Nothobranchius furzeri: one gene and its partner. The protein of the gene in region 1 purifies or fractionates together with the protein of each later gene. This does not show direct contact. Links are inferred from orthologs where the notes say so. Each region holds a gene or a part of one and is shown on either strand. Other genes may lie near its edges.

The links.
Region 2: the proteins of nmnat2 (region 1) and fbxo45 purify together in Homo sapiens (co-immunoprecipitation; 3 studies listed by BioGRID and IntAct, with this or other methods). This does not show direct contact. The link is inferred for Nothobranchius furzeri from reciprocal best matches to the Homo sapiens genes NMNAT2 and FBXO45.

The regions. Positions count from the first base shown.
Region 1 is NC_091751.1:34,804,938-34,813,028, reverse strand, and holds part of nmnat2 (nicotinamide/nicotinic acid mononucleotide adenylyltransferase 2), read left to right. Parts: intron 1-2,792; coding exon 2,793-2,881; intron 2,882-3,750; coding exon 3,751-3,818; intron 3,819-4,219; coding exon 4,220-4,298; intron 4,299-4,535; coding exon 4,536-4,671; intron 4,672-4,815; coding exon 4,816-4,896; intron 4,897-5,016; coding exon 5,017-5,061; intron 5,062-5,246; coding exon 5,247-5,323; intron 5,324-5,502; coding exon 5,503-5,604; intron 5,605-6,568; coding exon 6,569-6,636; intron 6,637-6,709; coding exon 6,710-6,812; 3' UTR 6,813-8,091.
Region 2 is NC_091747.1:41,231,380-41,239,982, forward strand, and holds fbxo45 (F-box/SPRY domain-containing protein 1), read left to right. Parts: upstream 1-4,287; 5' UTR 4,288-4,431; coding exon 4,432-4,758; intron 4,759-7,542; coding exon 7,543-7,899; intron 7,900-7,978; coding exon 7,979-8,164; 3' UTR 8,165-8,397; downstream 8,398-8,603. Other genes in the region: fam168b (myelin-associated neurite-outgrowth inhibitor), read right to left, coding at 172-284, 369-567, 780-922, 1,854-1,937, 2,019-2,088. UniProt on the Homo sapiens protein: Component of E3 ubiquitin ligase complex consisting of FBXO45, MYCBP2 and SKP1. Functions in substrate recognition but also plays an important role in assembly of the complex.

The DNA of each region.
Region 1 (8,091 bases):
AAAAAGCTATTCTTATCCATTCCAAATTGGGAGACTATTTGATTAAATGGGATGAAGTCCAATCCTTCATATATGTGTTCCAGGTATAGGATTCCTTTATTTTTCCAGTCCGGAAGGTTCATCATTTTGTTGTTTTGCAAAATGTCAGGATTGTTCCAGATAGGTGTGCGTCTGCATGGTACTAGTGAAGACTCTGTCATTTTAAGATACTCCCACCATGCTGTCAGAGAGGTGCTTATACTAAGACTTTTGAAGCTTTCATGTTTTCTTATGCTTGAGCTAATAATGTCTGAAAGCTCTATCGTATTGCAAAGTGTCTGTTCTATATCTAACCAGGACTCGTCTAATGGGTTATCTTGCAACCATCTTGGTATATATTGCAGCCTGTTGGCTAAGAAATAATAATAAAAGTTGGGTAAATCCAGTCCTCCTCTGTCTTTGGTCTTCTGAAGCGTTTTTAAGCTAATTCGTGGAGGTTTATCCTGCCAAAGGAATTTAGTAATTGAGGAGTCCAGAGATTTAAACCAGTCAGCTGGAGGTTTGTTTGGGATCATCGAGAATAAGTAATTTATTCTGGGTAAGACCATCATTTTAATTGTAGCAACTCTCCCCATGAGTGATATCGGTAAGGATTTCCATCTTGCAAGATCATCTTCCACTTTCCTTAAAAGTGGGATGTAATTCAGTTTGGTTAGATCTGCTAACTTGGGAGAGATATTAATTCCCAGGTATGTGATATTCCCTGACTCCAATTGTGTATTAAGCAAATTGACAAATGAGAAATTAATTGGTAGAACTGTGGATTTTAACCAGTTTATAGAGTAATCTGAAACTCTGGAAAAAGAGTTTATCAGTTCTATTGCTTGGGAGAGAGAGGATTGAGAATTCTGGAGAAAGAGTAAAACATCATCTGCATAAAGACTGATCTTATGTTCTATTTTCTTACACTTTATCCCTTTAATATCTGTTGTTTGCCTAATTGCTGCTGCTAGTGGTTCAATAAAGATAGCAAATAGTGAGGGGGAGAGTGGGAATCCCTGCCTGGTCCCCCTCTGAAGACAGAAGCTAGCTGATATCTGGTCGTTCGTCCTGACACGTGCTGTTGGTGAACTGTATAATGTTTGTAGCCAGTTTATGAAGAAGTTCCCAAAACCAAATTTATGTAAAGTTGCAAATAAGAACTTCCAGTTAACTCTATCAAAAGCTTTTTCTGCATCTAGAGATAATATACTAGTTTCTATGTTTCTACTGTAAGAGAAATCTATCAAATTAAGTAATCTACGTGAGTTTGTGGATGACTGTCTACCTTTAATGAAACCAGTTTGGTCAGGGTGTATTATGAAGGGAGTTACCTTCTCTAATCTTTTGGCCAGGGCTTTACAAATTATTTTGAGATCAACATTAATAAGAGAAATTGGGCGATAGCTGGTAGGAAATGCCGGGTCTTTGCCTGGTTTTAACAAGAAACTAATATTGGCTGAATTCATGTTTGGCTGTAATCTGCTGCTCTCTTCGATTTCCCTCACCATTCTGAAAAATATTGGAGCCAGAATGATCCAGAATTCTTTGTAGAATTCTACTGGGAACCCGTCTGGACCTGGAGCTTTCCTATTCGTCATGGATTTAAGGGCTTCCTGGAGCTCCGCTGATGTTAGTGGCGAGTCCAGGACTGTAACTTGGCTGTCTGATAATTTAGGAAGTGTTATCCTGTCAAGGAACTCATTGATCTCATTATCTGATGGGTTTATCTGTGGTGAGTACAAAGTTTGGTAAAAGTCTCTGAAGGTGTTGTTTATTCTTTCAGGGTCATATACTATATTCCCGGTTGAGTCTTTAACAGCAGATATGGTAGTTTTCTCTTTATTTATTTTTAATTGGCTAGCTAAGAATTTACCTGATTTATTACTATGTTCAAAGTTTTCTATTCATAGTCTTTGTGCTAAAAATTGTGTCTTTTTGTCAATAATTCCATGAAGTTCTAATTTAGCTTTACGTAATTTGATCATTAACTCTTCTTCTGTGGATGCCTCTAAAGACTTGATGATTTCTTCTAACTCCTGAATACGTTTGTTTTCCGTTTTTTTCTTATGTGATGAGAAAGAGATTATTTTACCTCTCATCACTGCCTTTCCTGCCTCCCAAAGAATAGATGCTGATGTTCCAGGCAGGTCATTATGTTCTAAATATAAACCCCACTCCTTTTTAAAAAATTCTATAAAACCTTCGTCTTTAAGCAGTGATGTATTAAACCTCCAGTTTTTGCTTGGTGGGATTGTCTTTTTATTTACCAGAGTTAAAGAAACTGGAGCATGGTCGCTGACAACTATGGGGTGTATCTCAGTGTCTGAAATGTCAGCCAACAATGAGCTGCTGACTAGAAAATAATCCAAACGTGAATGAGAGTGATGTTTCAGTTTGTGTTTCTGGTTGTGTTTGTGTTTCAGTTTTTAACATGTAGGTTTTATTTGTGTCTGATCCTCTCAGGTTCTGCTCCAGAAGAATTCTGATGGAGCTGGGATTATCCGATTTGACTTTAATTTCACTTTCAAGCTTAAAGCTTAAATGCCTGATAAATAGACTTTTATTTTGAAGGCTGAAAGCTGAATCGTAGTTACAAAATAAAAGGATATCAGGTGTTACACCCATCAGAATCGGATCCTGTGGATGTACAGGAAGTGAATAAATAACATCAGATAATCCCAATCCAAACAGATGAAATGATGGATTTTAATCCAGAGCTAACAGCTGACGCCGGATTCACTTTTATTCACTTCTTCATTTGTTTCCTGCAGAAAAAGCCAGAGAGTTTCTGCACAAAACAGGAAGATTCATTGTGATCGGAGGCATCATCTCACCAGTTCACGACTCCTATGGAAAACCTGTGAGTGCTCTGTGATGTCAGTGATGATGTAATCCACCTGATGGTGGCTCTGTTCTGATGCTCCCTGAAACATGGGCTTTGATTAACTGATGGTTTACAGATGAGATCAGAGGCGAAGAGGAGGAGCTAGCTTTGTGCCTGACCCAGACGTTCCTCTGGGCCGTGCGTTTGGCCTCTCTGTGTTCCAGACTCGGGTTTAGGTTCTGATCCTGCGTCTGCTTCAATAAATCTGAGGTTCTACTTTGTTCTGCAGAACAGAACAAAGAATCACAAATTTACATGTCTGGTCAAACATTTCAGGGAGACTTGAGCTGAAGAAGTTCCATCTGGTCGCCTAAACAGGGTCAGCTCTACAGATTTAGATCTAGAGGAGCAGCAGCTCTTCTGCTAACCAGGAGACCACATGATCCAGATCCTCAGAAACTCTAACCAGGTCTATGGTGTACAGGTCGGCTCCCTCCTCTTCCTCCCAGTTCTTCTCCTCTTCTAAACAAATCCAAAAGTCCGCTGCAGCTGCTCCATCAGAACCTGGAGGACCTGGGTCTGCAGAAGCTGCAGGAGATGTGAAGCCGGTTGGGACTCAGGTCCATGCTGGTTCTGAAGGAGTTAACAAAGCTCTTGTCCTACTTTCCTTCTGCTGCAGAAACTCAACATGAAAAATAAATGCTGCAGAAATCCAGTCAAACTCTTTCAAAATAAAAGCATGTGGTGCTGATCCAGTTTGGGTTGTACTGGTTCTGAAGAACTACCCTTTTAAATCCAGGTGAACTGATTTAGCATCTTTGTGATCCTGTTGAGTTCTGCTCCAGAACCGGTCCAACCAGAACCCGTATTTCTCAGAAACAAATGGAGCCTGTCTGTGTGTGCAGGGCCTGGTGTCCAGCCGACATCGTCTCACCATGTGTCAGCTGGCCGTCCAGTCATCTGATTGGATCAGGTGAGTTGTCTGTCAGTCATTCAGAGTTTCTGTTCCTGTAGAAACAAAAAACAAACATTAAAACTGTTATTTCTGTCCCAGTTTGGGTTGTGTCTACGGTGGCCATGTTGGGACATTCTCATGTCAGACTGAAGATGTCCTCAAATGTACATCGTCCATCTGGCTGATATTAAATTTAGTTTGATTGTCTTTAGTAAATAATTTTGTTTTGAATTTTTGTTTCAGAGTCTGAATCAGATCCCACATCAGATCCTGAGATCTAGACTAAAACCAGAATATTTTTTCAGGCTCTTATTGTGAAACTTCTGCAGGAAGTGACCGAGTTTAACAAAGTCGGAATGAGTGTGGCCTGTCCTGACTGGGTCAGGTCTCTGTGATGGTTCTGGTTGTGTCTCCTACAGAGTGGACCCCTGGGAGTGTTACCAGGACACCTGGCAGACCACCTGCAGCGTGTTGGAGCATCACCGCGACCTCATGAAGGTCAGTCAGGTGACCCGGGTCCGCTCAGGTTGGAGGTTCCGCCTGAGCCAAAGTGCTGAGGCATCAGGTTTAGGGACAAAAATGAACCGAAGAGCAGAAATGGAATATTTTACTTACAGATTTGATTCTGGGACGATTCTTCTGAATGACCTGCGGAAACATGTAAACAGAACCAGTCAGAACTTTGTTCATGGAGAAACCCGCTTGATCCAGTCCAAACGTGTTTCTGTCCCTCAGAGAGTCACCGGCTGCATCCTGTCCAACGTCAACACGCCGTCCACCACTCCTGTGATTGGTCAGCCTCAGAACCAGACTCCGCCCATCTACCAGAACCATAGCACCATCAACAACAAACACACAAACATCACGGCCAGTGAGTCCAACCCGGAGTGACACCATCATGTGTTCATCAGATACATCATGTGCTCATCAGACACATCATGTGTTCATTAGACACATCATGTGTTCATTACATACATTTCTCGTGGGTTAATAAGATGTTTGTTGTGTTTCTCAGTCAAACTTTGGGGGAAAATCGGTGAGAGTTTGGGTAAAATCTGCTGCGTTCGTCCTCAGATGGAACGTTTCACGTTTGTTGGTAAGAAAACGAGTAGAAAATGTTCATAATTATTGCTAAAATGAACCAAATAAGTTTTTGTTTGTTGGTAATGAGACCTTTGAGACTGTATTTACAAACAAAGCTGATGGTTTATTTCAGATGAAAACGCCAACCTGGGCACCGCCATGAGATACGAGGAGATCGGTGAGTCTTCTGACCCGAACGAGTCAGGACTTCCTGCTGCGTGTCATTTCCTTCTGGCTTGTTTGGCTCCAGTAAACTTCTGGTTTACAGCGTAAACATGATGGTTACCGCCATGTTTACTAAGGTAAACGTGATGTTTACTGAGGATGTTTTGTCTCTCTCCTCCTGCCGTGTGTCACCTGTAGAGTTACGCATCCTTCTCCTGTGTGGCAGTGACCTCCTGGAGTCCTTCTGCATCCCTGGCCTCTGGAAGGACAGTGATGTAAGCACAATAAGCCTCACCCACTCTCATGTAGTCCAACCCAACTACATGGAGCCCCGCCCCTTAGATGATCTCTTTATCACATGACTGATGCTTGATGTGGATGTTTTTGCCAAGGACACCTGCCCCAGTTTGAAGAACAAGCTGGAGGTAACGTTCTGGAGTGTTTGTGGTTTCAGATGGAGGTTATTGTTGGAGACTTTGGGATCGTGGTGGTTCCTCGAGACGGAGTCGACACTGAGAGGATCATGAATCACTCGTCAATCCTGCGCAAATACAAGGTGAGATAGGTGTGTGGGGTTTCTATGGAAGCCTGGCGAGCGTCTGACACCTCCAAGTCGTGGGGTGTAATCTACGGTCGTCTCCGCATAGTGTATATAAAGACAGAAAAATGTCCATTGGACAGCACTAGAACCATCAAACGTAGAACGCTGTGATTGGCCAGACACAAAACTGATCAAGCCAGTGGTAGACCAGCTGAGGCTAATGCGACAGGCGTGGCTGAACCGACCTGCAGAGTAAAGTATTTTGATACTGTTACGTTTGTTGCCACGGTAACAACCTGAGTCCAGATTCTTCTGATCACAGACTAGATCAGGAATTTTGCTGAATTAATGTTTAAATGGTAAATGGCCTGTATTTGTATAGAGCATTCTTAGGGTTCTACAACCCCCCAAGGTGCTTTACAGCTAAATCAGTCATCCACACTCTGGTGATGAGCTACATTGTAGCCACAGCTGCCCCGGGCACTGACAGAGACGAGGCTGTCGTACACAGGCGCCACCGGACCCTCCGACCACCTGTAGACAAGGTGGGTTAAGTGTCTTGCCCAAGGGCACAGCGGCAGCATTCTCTGGCGGGAGCCGAGATCAAGCCTGCAACCTTCTGATTACTGGACAGCGCCCTCTACCTTCATCACCACCCTCTCCTTGTTCCGCTCTTATTCCAACTTTCACACGATTCACTGATTTCCCTCTTTCCTACTCACGTTCCCGCTCCCCTTCCTTATTTTGCTTTTCTCCTTTTAAACTTATTTTTAATCATCTTTTAAAATATTTTTTAAACTTTATTTTTGTTCTTGTGAAGCGCCTCGTGGCTTTTATCGTGAGAGGCGGTTTAAACCTCCTGACCTGCGGCTGCCCAACCTTCCACTAAGACCTTTAAGATGTCAGCCTCTGGAGAAGTTAGGACGTTTGAAATCGTTTTTCCCATGGTGCCTTGTGTTTACGCTGCCGTGTGCTTTAGGACAATATCGTCACGGTGAAGGATGCAACAAACCACCCGATGTCCATTGTCAGCTCCACAAAGAGCAGGTGGGATCACTAATCACAGAATTTAGAGGCCATAAACCATTGATGTGATCTGACCTTTAACCCCACCCCCCAGACTGGCTCTGCAGCACGGTGACGGCCACGTCGTGGACTACCTGAGTCAGCCCGTCATTGACTACATCCTTCAGAGCCAGCTGTACATCAACGCCTCTGGATAAACCTGCTACATGAAAACACCCAGAACAAAGATGGTAGGGGGAGGGGCTTCAACAACCATCTACTCTATACCCCCCCCCCCCCCCCCCCCAAAAAAAAGAACTGAAACTTCCTCGTCCGTCTTCAGACTTATACTCTTCTTTGATCTGTGCCTCCTGTCTGTGTCATGTGACCCTACCTTTGTTGGGGTGGGTGGGAGGGGCTTCATGTGTAAACAGGTGCATGGTCAGCAGCAGAGCATGCTCAGGGCTAGGCTGGGCAGAACCTGATCCAGATGTTAGCACATGGATCCTTACCAAGTCTCATAGTTTAAACAGGAGTTTGGTTTCTATCAGGTGACCCGGTTCTGATCCGGTTCTGGATTCATGTTGGATGTTAATTATTATTGTGAGATTTTAACAGAACAGGTTTGTTGGTCAGAAACTTTCACTTTCACTCAAGAACCTGGCCTGAACACACACACACACACACACACACACACACACACACACACACGCACAGATATTCCTCAAATCTCACTTTGTTTTGAACCTGAACTTTATCAGTTTGAGCCTGGTGAGTCATGTTACCATGGCAACATGGGATGGTGATGGTGAGGAGCCAACTGAACTGGACCCTCTGTTTCTCCTCCTGCATGCTTTCTTCTGCTGGTTAGGTTCTGGCATTAATGTTTTCACTCAAGATTATTATGGTCTGTCGTGGACATGTCTGGAAAATTATTATAAATAACATTTAGCTTCAGTGAAGATCGTTTCCACGGCGACACACGTTTGTATTAGCTCTGTAAACGAGCCGATGTCATCTGCTTGTGTTTATCTCCATGTGTGTGTGTGTGTGTGGGGGGGGGGGGGGGTTGATTACACGTAGCTGAACCTGTTTCTGTATTAATCCGCTGTTTCTGTTGCACGAACTTCTGAGTGTGAAATTATTTATTGTGACTTTTGTTTGTGAGATTTTGTCATCACAGCTGTTTACAGATCAGATTTAGATCTGATCAAAGACTTAAAGATGAACAAAACTGACCTGAGATCAGAGCAGCAGAAGGATGTAAGATGACAATAAGCCTGGAAGTGAATCCAGTCTTTAATATTTCTGATCCGATTCTTTATTTCGGATCACCTGCTCCCCCTGCTGGATAAACACAGTAGCTCCTCTAGTGAATCATCACGGTCAGACTGAAACAAATACATTTTATTTGAGTCAGAGGAGTAAAGCAGATTAATTTTATTTTATTTTTCATCTGCAGCAGAACAAAAGCAGATCAGATCATTTGAAAATAAA
Region 2 (8,603 bases), on another chromosome or scaffold:
AAGAAGACTAAACTGGTAGCATACGCTGCCTGGGCAGGTCGTCACCAAGAACACTGGAGCAGAGTGTAAATGCATATCTACCTTCAGACCTGCAGGGACAAAAGGGGATCAATGGAAGGATTCCATCTAAATGTTAAAAATCTAAATGATCCACACTCACACTTAGTGTCTTCACCACTGTGGGGGCACGTAGCTGTAGCTGGGGGTGCCGGGGGCCCGATATGTGGGCATCGTGACTTGATGCGGGGCCACAGGTGCCGGTGAGGGACTTGTCAACAAAGTTCCTGTGAGGCAGATTTGATAGTTTCGAGTTAAATTCTAACTTATTAGTTCTGAATATGCAGAAGTAAAAAGTCGCTGCAGCTCACCAGCGGACATAGCCATGGTTGTGCCGGCGACCATCCCCATGGCGACGCCGTTGGCGCGGCCAGGAGCGATGGACGGGGCGTACATGGCTGCAGGCATTCCATTGGGCTGGACCACCGTCGTGTGGTGGATGACATGAGGTGGTGCAGCGTACAGCGGCTGCGTGTAATAGGTGCCTTGTTGTTGGGAAGGTATTAACGCCTGAATCAGACAAACATGGTGACTCGTTTAGCTAAAATCGCTAACGACACATGTTGAAAAATAAAGGCATCATAGGTGATAGATGATTTTTTTTTGTTACATTGAGATCAGTGGTTCAGGAGATGTTTTGCAAACACACACAAACAGACAGAGGCAAAAATATTCTAGTCTACTTTTCACATGAATACCAAAGTCCGCACGAACTCACTGACCTGTGCATAAGGGCTCTGTTGGGGGTAGGTGCTCCTGACAGGGTAGACAGCAGCAGGATAGGGGCTTGGTGAGGAAGAGTATGGTGGCACAGTCCCAGTGTTGGGAGAGCAGGACATTTTAAAAGGAGTTCCAGGAGCGTAGCCTGAAATGAGCCAGCACCTCTTGTAATAATTTATAGCAGCAAGACAAGTTAGTTTCTCAACGGAGCAATGGTGATGTAACCCAGCAGAAAAGTGCAACGCTGAGCACAAACTCCCCCAAAAGAAGTGCTACATCTAGTTTTGTATTATTTTACAATGAATGAACAATTGTACTGATCTTTACAGGCTGAAGCTGTTTAAAAATGGCAACCTGTAGTAGTAAATGTGCTACAACTAGCCATTAGCTCATCAGTCCTATAGGATGTAAGCTAGCTATGCTAGGAGTGGCCAGTTCCAGTCCATGAAAATGTGTGTCTGCAAGCTCCAACGCACCTGGACAGTAATTAACAGACCTCTGTAGAAATCAACACTATAAGAAGGCGATTAAATTATTTAATTCTTGTGTGCTAAATCAGGAAACAAAACTTTAGCAGGATGGAAGCTCTTTGGGTTTGGGGTTGATGAGTAAACACTTTAAAATACAAAAATAATGATTTACAACTTTTACACAAAAACACAAATAGTGACCACAATAACTCTGAGACAAACTGCCATGGTGACTTATCAATATACGTAAACTAATCCAAGATTATAGCAGCCAATACATTCACTCCTGTGTATTCATCATTATAACATTAAATTGTGGTAATACATGACTTACGAATATGTTTAAATTTGTATTTAATTTGTTCAGTTTAGGACCTGAATGAGTTCAGAGAGAATTTTTGAGCAGAAAATCTAAATTTATGCAATTTCTATACATTTTAAATGTATTTTCTTTTTACAAAATTCAAGAACTCAAATCAACTTATGGATGTAGTCTAAAATATGTTTTTTGTGTTTTGTTTTTACAAAAAAGTGATATAAATTTAAGTATTTAAGTTACACATTTGTTATGTATTTATTATAATTTCTGGTGGGTTTCATTCTTACCGCTGGGAAAGGCAGGGTTAGCTCCTGCATAGACACCTGGACTGTATGATGGGGCAGCAGCTGCATAGCCAACAGGGAATCCAGCTGTTGGGATCAAATAGAGAAGAATTAATCCTTTGAACTCCATGTGTGGCTTTGTCCTCTTGTTTGACCAGATAAAACTACCTGGATAGCCTAAACCCTTCGTGTTGGTAAAGGGGACCCCTGTTGGTGCAGGGCTGTATACAGGATTCATCGTGGCCGTCTGCTCACAGCTGCTGCAATCAAGAAAACAGAGGTTCATTTAAACGTGGTGCAAAATGAACTGAAAATATTTTAGATTTAATCGAAATTCCACAAATCTGCTCCTAAACAACGTTTGCTAGAATGTTTAATATGTTTTATTGCCTTTTTCCTTCCCCAAAGATTGGGGTACAGATCTAGGGATACACTGACTATGACAGGACTTTACTGTTAGGACTTATTAATGTTGAATTGATACAAAAGACAAGTAATCCCTTATGTTGCAAAAGCTACATTGCAACAGAAATATAACTTCTATCATTAGATATGTTCAGGTGGCAACAACTCCAGATGTTTTGAGGCTGAAACAAGTGTTTGCATCCAGCTCAGAGACGTCTCTGTGCTGCCCCTGGCGGTGATGATAAAACACTGCTTTCATTACATCACATTTCAAATAGAAGGATGGAAAACCATGAAAAGGGACACATTTACATTTGATGCTAAAACAGATACATTAATGAGGTTACAAAATGCATAAAAAAGAGGCAAACGACTGTGCACAGTAGTGATGACAGTTAATATTTGTTCTCTTTCTTTCTCATGGCACATTTGAATAATTTAACCTTTAAAAAATAAAACACAATTTTATAAAACACCTAAACCGGCACACTTTCATCATGTGACGACATTTAAACTACTTCTTGCTCTGATTTTAGATAAACATAACTGAGAATAAAAGGTCATAACTAATTAAAACAATAATTTCCTATAAAGGAGAAAATGTGCAATTAACTGACGCTTATCTCTTGTCTCGTGAACCGGTTTATTGTATGTATATCAGCACCATTAGGGTAGCGTTATAACCGGTTAGTAGAGCAGTCGGATCAGAAGATAACCTTCCAGGTGACATACCGAAGCTTCACCACTAGCTAGCTATAGCTCTCGAGGATTCGGAGCCGCAGCAGAAGCTCGGCGGGTCGAGCCTGTCCGGTGTCCGAACATCGGCTCAGATATTCAGTCTAACCGGAACATCAACCAGTGTGGCCGCGCAGAGTCACCGAACCGTCGTCCCTGGACGGCCCACATATGATGGGACAGGCTTGTCAACAGGCCGCTCGGTTCAGGCAACAAGCCAGCCAGCTGTGCTCCGCAGTGACGCCTGTCCCAACATAACATACATCTCACAAGTCTCACTAGTTTAAATACACAGAAAACGTATAGTTCACCGTTTCAATCGCGTGTTTCTTCTCTTCTCTGCGACAGAGACGTTAAATAAAATTAAGCTAGCTGGTGTTTTGTTCCCAGATGCTTTGCTGAACTCTTTTGAGCACCGAGCGTCACTTCCGTGTAGAGTCACGTGATCTCTATAGCGCAACATTTTTCTTTTGCCTTCGTTGAATGCTCGATTTTTGTCTTAAAAAATTTAAAATTGAGCTATTTTTCTCTCAACATTTACAAGATTGGATGCAATTTAAAATCAAATTAAGCTGAAAATAACAAGCCTCATATATTTATTACTTTAAATGTGCTTAAATGTTATAATATTTAGCAATGTTTGTTGTTATAAACTGACAAAATGTTTTCTAAAATATTTTCGCAATGATGTCACGTAGCAGAGCTCCACATCATTTACACACTAGTGAACGTAAGGGTGCACTAAGCTGGTGGGGCTTGCACACCTTTACTGCGACGCACGCCCACATCGGCGTACAAAGTACACCTATCACAACAAAAACACTGCGACTGTTGTATATAGACTGTAAATTAACAAGACGTGTCGTTTTGTGATATTTCATTCCTCTGTGACACATGTATGTTGTCAGCTGCCAATCACATAAAATACTCACATTTATTTGTCAGATTGTCAGAATTTTAAGGCTTTTCCAACATTTAATATAAACTCCTCCGATGGTCTTCGTTTCCAGTCGGGTCATACGCCGGTGACTGGAAGGAGTAGACCCCGTGAGTTCATTATCATGGCTGCTCCGTGGTCCTGACAGGCTTATAAAACAAGTTACTTGAAAAATCCTTTTCTTTTAGTTGAAAATTCCTACATATTTTAGTGTATCATTATTATAAAATATTTGATATAATAAACACGATATACACGTGATGTTGGTCTGCTTTTAGATAAGGCTGTTACTAAAATATGTGTTCTTTAAGGACCTTGACGCATCGTTTCCATTCAGCCATTGAACTGGGAAGACTAGGGTCCACACTGTTTTGGAGTAAGTGCGACTTGTTAGCGCTTTAACGGCGAAAATGATTCGATTTGAAATATTTTAGACCTCGTCCTACGTTGTATAGGGTGAGATTATTTGGTCGGCTGGCATCGTCGGTAAGGAGCAGGGGTTTAATGTCAGCAGCAGCCGCCTTGGGAGGAGGCTCGCCCTGTTTGGGCGCAGCAGCGGCGGCCAGTTGCAGCTCAGCCGGCTCTTCCTATGCTGCCGCAGCCGGTGGAGGCGCGGGAGTGGCCGGGAGGTTACCGGCCCGAGTGCTGGAGCACATTTTCTGCTATCTGGAGCTCTCCGACCTGATGCGGTGTTCACTGGTCTGCTGGCACTGGAATAATATCTTAGCAGACGAGAACAGCGAGGTGTGGCGCAGCCTCTGCAACCGGAGTCTGAGTGATGAAGCACTACGGTCTGATGTCCTCTGCAACCTGCCCACCTACAAGGGGAAAGTAGGTTCACCAGTGATAAGGTCCTTAGGATGGAGAAGGATGTGATTAATGATAACTTCCGGTCAGAAATGTACCTACATTTTGTGTGTGTGTGTGTGTGTGTGTGTGTGTGTGTATACATGTGTATTGGCTTGGCTTGCTTTGTTTCAGAACAAGCACAAACTGTTATTGTTTACTGTTGCATCCTCCCTTCCCACTGAATTAGTTTTTGTCACACTCAAATGTTTCCGTTCAGCCACCATATTTAAGTATCAGATAAAGACAACCAGAAATAATATTACATTGATCTTAAATGATTATTTCCCTTTTTAAAGGGCAAATCTATCCAGAACAACCTGGTTCTATGTAGAAGAAGAAAATAACTTTTCTATAGCGCCTCTTAATAAAAGTCACAAGGCGCTTCACAAAAACAAAAAATGTAAACATATAGAAAATAATTTAGAAAATTATTAAAAATATATTTAAAATGAGCAAAAAAAGATAGACAGTTGTGATTACAAATGTAGAGAAAGAGAGAGAGTGAATAGGAAAGAGGGAAATCAGTGGATCCTGAGGAAGGTGCAATAGGTAGGGAGAGCAGAACAAGAAGAGGGTGATGAAGATCATACAAAAGCCAGCTTGAACAAGTGAGTGTTCAGCTGCTTTTTAAAGGAGACCACCGAGTCCACTGATCTCAGGCTCAGGGGGAGAGAGTTCCAGAGTCTGGGGGCCACAGCAGCAAATGATCTGTCACCTTTGGTCTTTAGCCTGGTGCGCTGCACAACCAGTAGGCTTTGATCACTGGACCTCAGGGACCTGCTGGGGGTGTAGGGACAGAGAAGATCACCAATGTAAGATGGTGCTTGTCCATGTAAGGCCCTATAGACCAGAACCAGGATCTTGAAATGAACCCTGAAGTTGACTGGCAACCAATGAAGCTGGAGGAGAAGCGGGGTGATGTGGGTGTGTTTGGAGGACTTGGTCAGAAGCCGAGCACAGGCATTCTGAACCACCTGTAGACGGTTCAGGGAGGTTCTGCTCAGACACGTGAAAAGAGAGTTACAGTAGTCTAAGAGTGAGGAGATGAAGGTGTGGATAACTGTCTCAAGTTCAGAGCGAGACAGAATGGGACTCAGCTTAGCAATGTTCCTGAGATGGAAGAAGGAAGAGCAAACAAGAGAACTGACATGAGAATCCAGGGTGAGAGCAGGGTCAAAGGTCACACCAAGATTCCTGAAGGAGGGTTTGGTGTGAGAAGCAAGCTGACCAAGAGAGTCTCTGACTTTGGGAACCAGCTTGTCTGGGGCACAGATGAGGATCTCAGTCTTATCTTTATTCAGCTGAAGAAAGCTCCCAGCCATCCAGGTTTTGATAGAGTCTAAGCAGGTGTGGAACAGCTCCAGCTTAGACATCTCATGAGGCTTGAAGGAGATGTACAGTTGGATGTCATCTGCGTAAAGATGGTAGGATATTCCTTTGAAGGAGGTGCTGAAGAGGAAGCAGATAGAGGAGGAAGAGCAGAGGCCCCAGCACAGAACCTTGTGGAACACCATGGGTAAGAGAGGTGGTGGGGGACCTAAACTTGGAGACGGCCACAGAAAAGGAGCGCTCAGAAAGATAAGAGGAGAAGCTGTAGAAAAGTAATTAACCTTTAAACATTTTAGCAGGTTGTAACAACCTACAAAATCTACAATCATCTATTATGATAACTGGTAATGAGCATCATTGTAGAGGAAATCTGTTCTACTCTTCTTTGCTGAATTGTTTTAAACCTAACATGAATGACATGTTTAAGGTCAAAGGTCAGATGTTTTCCTTCAGAATGTTGTGGTAGAGAGCAGAACTCTTGGATCCATCACTTACAGCAAGTGGTCTAGGTCCTAAAGCAGCAAGGCAGCCCCAGACCATAACACTTCCACCACCATGTTTGATTAGGTGTTATTGTTGGTTTTACGTTAGATGTAATGGGACACACACCTTCCAGAATACTCAGCTTTTGTCTCAACAGTCCCCAGAAGTCTTAGAGATCATTAATATGTTATTTTAGGAAATGTGAGATATTTTTTCTCCATCTCTTGTTTATTATTGAATCCTGACCTCTGACCTTAAACCTAACCAGGTGAGCCCTACTGTGCTTTTGACCTAGCTCTGGGTTTTCTTCTTTTAACCCTCCCACTGTCCTATTGGGTGACACCCCTCACCCCTGCCACATGCACCCCAAGGGATAAACCATCAACCCTGCTCAATGGTCAACTTCCCTGGCGGGGTCACCCAGTAGGACAGTGGGAGGGTAAAATATCTGTATAAAAAGGAATGATTTGGTGCTTTTTGAGATCAATTAGCCTAAATCATGTTGCCAGACACTTTCTATTGAGGTGATGTCTTTATTCTACAGGTCTAGTGAAACTGAACTCAGCTTCCCAAACAATCTAGTTAATCCCAGTTAATTCACAATTTAATAAAGGGATTTGATTACCTTCTTACGCAAGGCCAGGTTGATTTGGATATTAGTTCTCCTAATAAATGAAATCATCATTTGAAAACCACTTTTTCTGTTTACTCATTTAATCTTTGTTTGATATTGAAATCTTTCTGTTAATCTGAAACGTTTAAAGTGACAAGAAATCAAAATCAAGAACTTTAAGGGGAAATATTTGTTCGCATCATCGAAGACAATAAAACAAACAAAAATTGTAAAGTTAATAAACAATTTTAAACACTGCTGATGGTATAAGACCATGGAAAGTCCAGTTATGTGTCTCACTTGCCCTTCTATAACAGCTGTGTCTGACTGTCCTCCTGCAGCTCAAGTCTTATCAACATGCCCTGAGTTCTCACGACTGCTCCAGAAATGTTTATGTGAAGAAGAATGGCTTCACTCTGCATCGTAACCCCATCGCTCAGAGTACAGATGGTGCACGAGGCAAAATTGGCTTCACAGAGGGGCGGCATGCTTGGGAGATCTGGTGGGAGGGCCCACTCGGCACCGTGGCAGTGATAGGGATCGCCACAAAGCGGGCAGCGATGCAGTGCCAGGGCTACGTAGCCCTGCTGGGCAGCGATGACCAGAGCTGGGGCTGGAACCTGGTCGATAACAACCTGCTTCATAATGGAGAGGTCAACGGAAACTTCCCCCAGTGCAACAATGCTCCCAAATATCAGGTGTGATGTTTGACTTTTACAGTTCTAGTTCTTTTTAAAATATATCTGTAATCTGATGTGGTATAATCTTCGTCCACAGATCGGGGAAAGAATACGGGTGATTCTAGACATGGATGACAAGACTCTAGCTTTTGAGAGAGGCTTTGAGTTTCTTGGAGTAGCATTTCGTGGACTGCCTAAGGTCTGCCTGTTCCCTGCTGTCTCTGCGGTGTACGGCAACACGGAAGTCACCATGGTTTATCTGGGAAAGCCTCTGGATGGTTAGGGGCAGACTGGCCTGTGCCCTCAAACACATAAGCTCCTGAGAAGCCTCCTTTTGCAGCAGGACCGCTGACTCCTCTGCCTACTTGAACAGTTTATGGTTGAGGAGGTCAGAAGGTTCTTCAAACTTCATTATGACATGGAAAGAAGTGTTTCTCCAGCAGCTGAACATAAGCTCACAGCAGTGGAAACAAGCAGGAAAAGCTTTGGATGTCATGAACTTGTTATCGCCGTGGAAACGTCCACTTTTACAGTTTGCTGCTCGACCCATTTGTGGACACTTCAGTTTGTTTTATAAAATTAAAACCGTGCTAAATGATGACCTGAGACTTTATGTCTGCTTGAATGAGGCCAAAACTTCTAAACTGTGGCAAAATCCAACTTTGAGTGTTATCAAAAGTTGTTTGGTGTAAGAATGAGTGGAAACACTCTGGTTTAGCCAA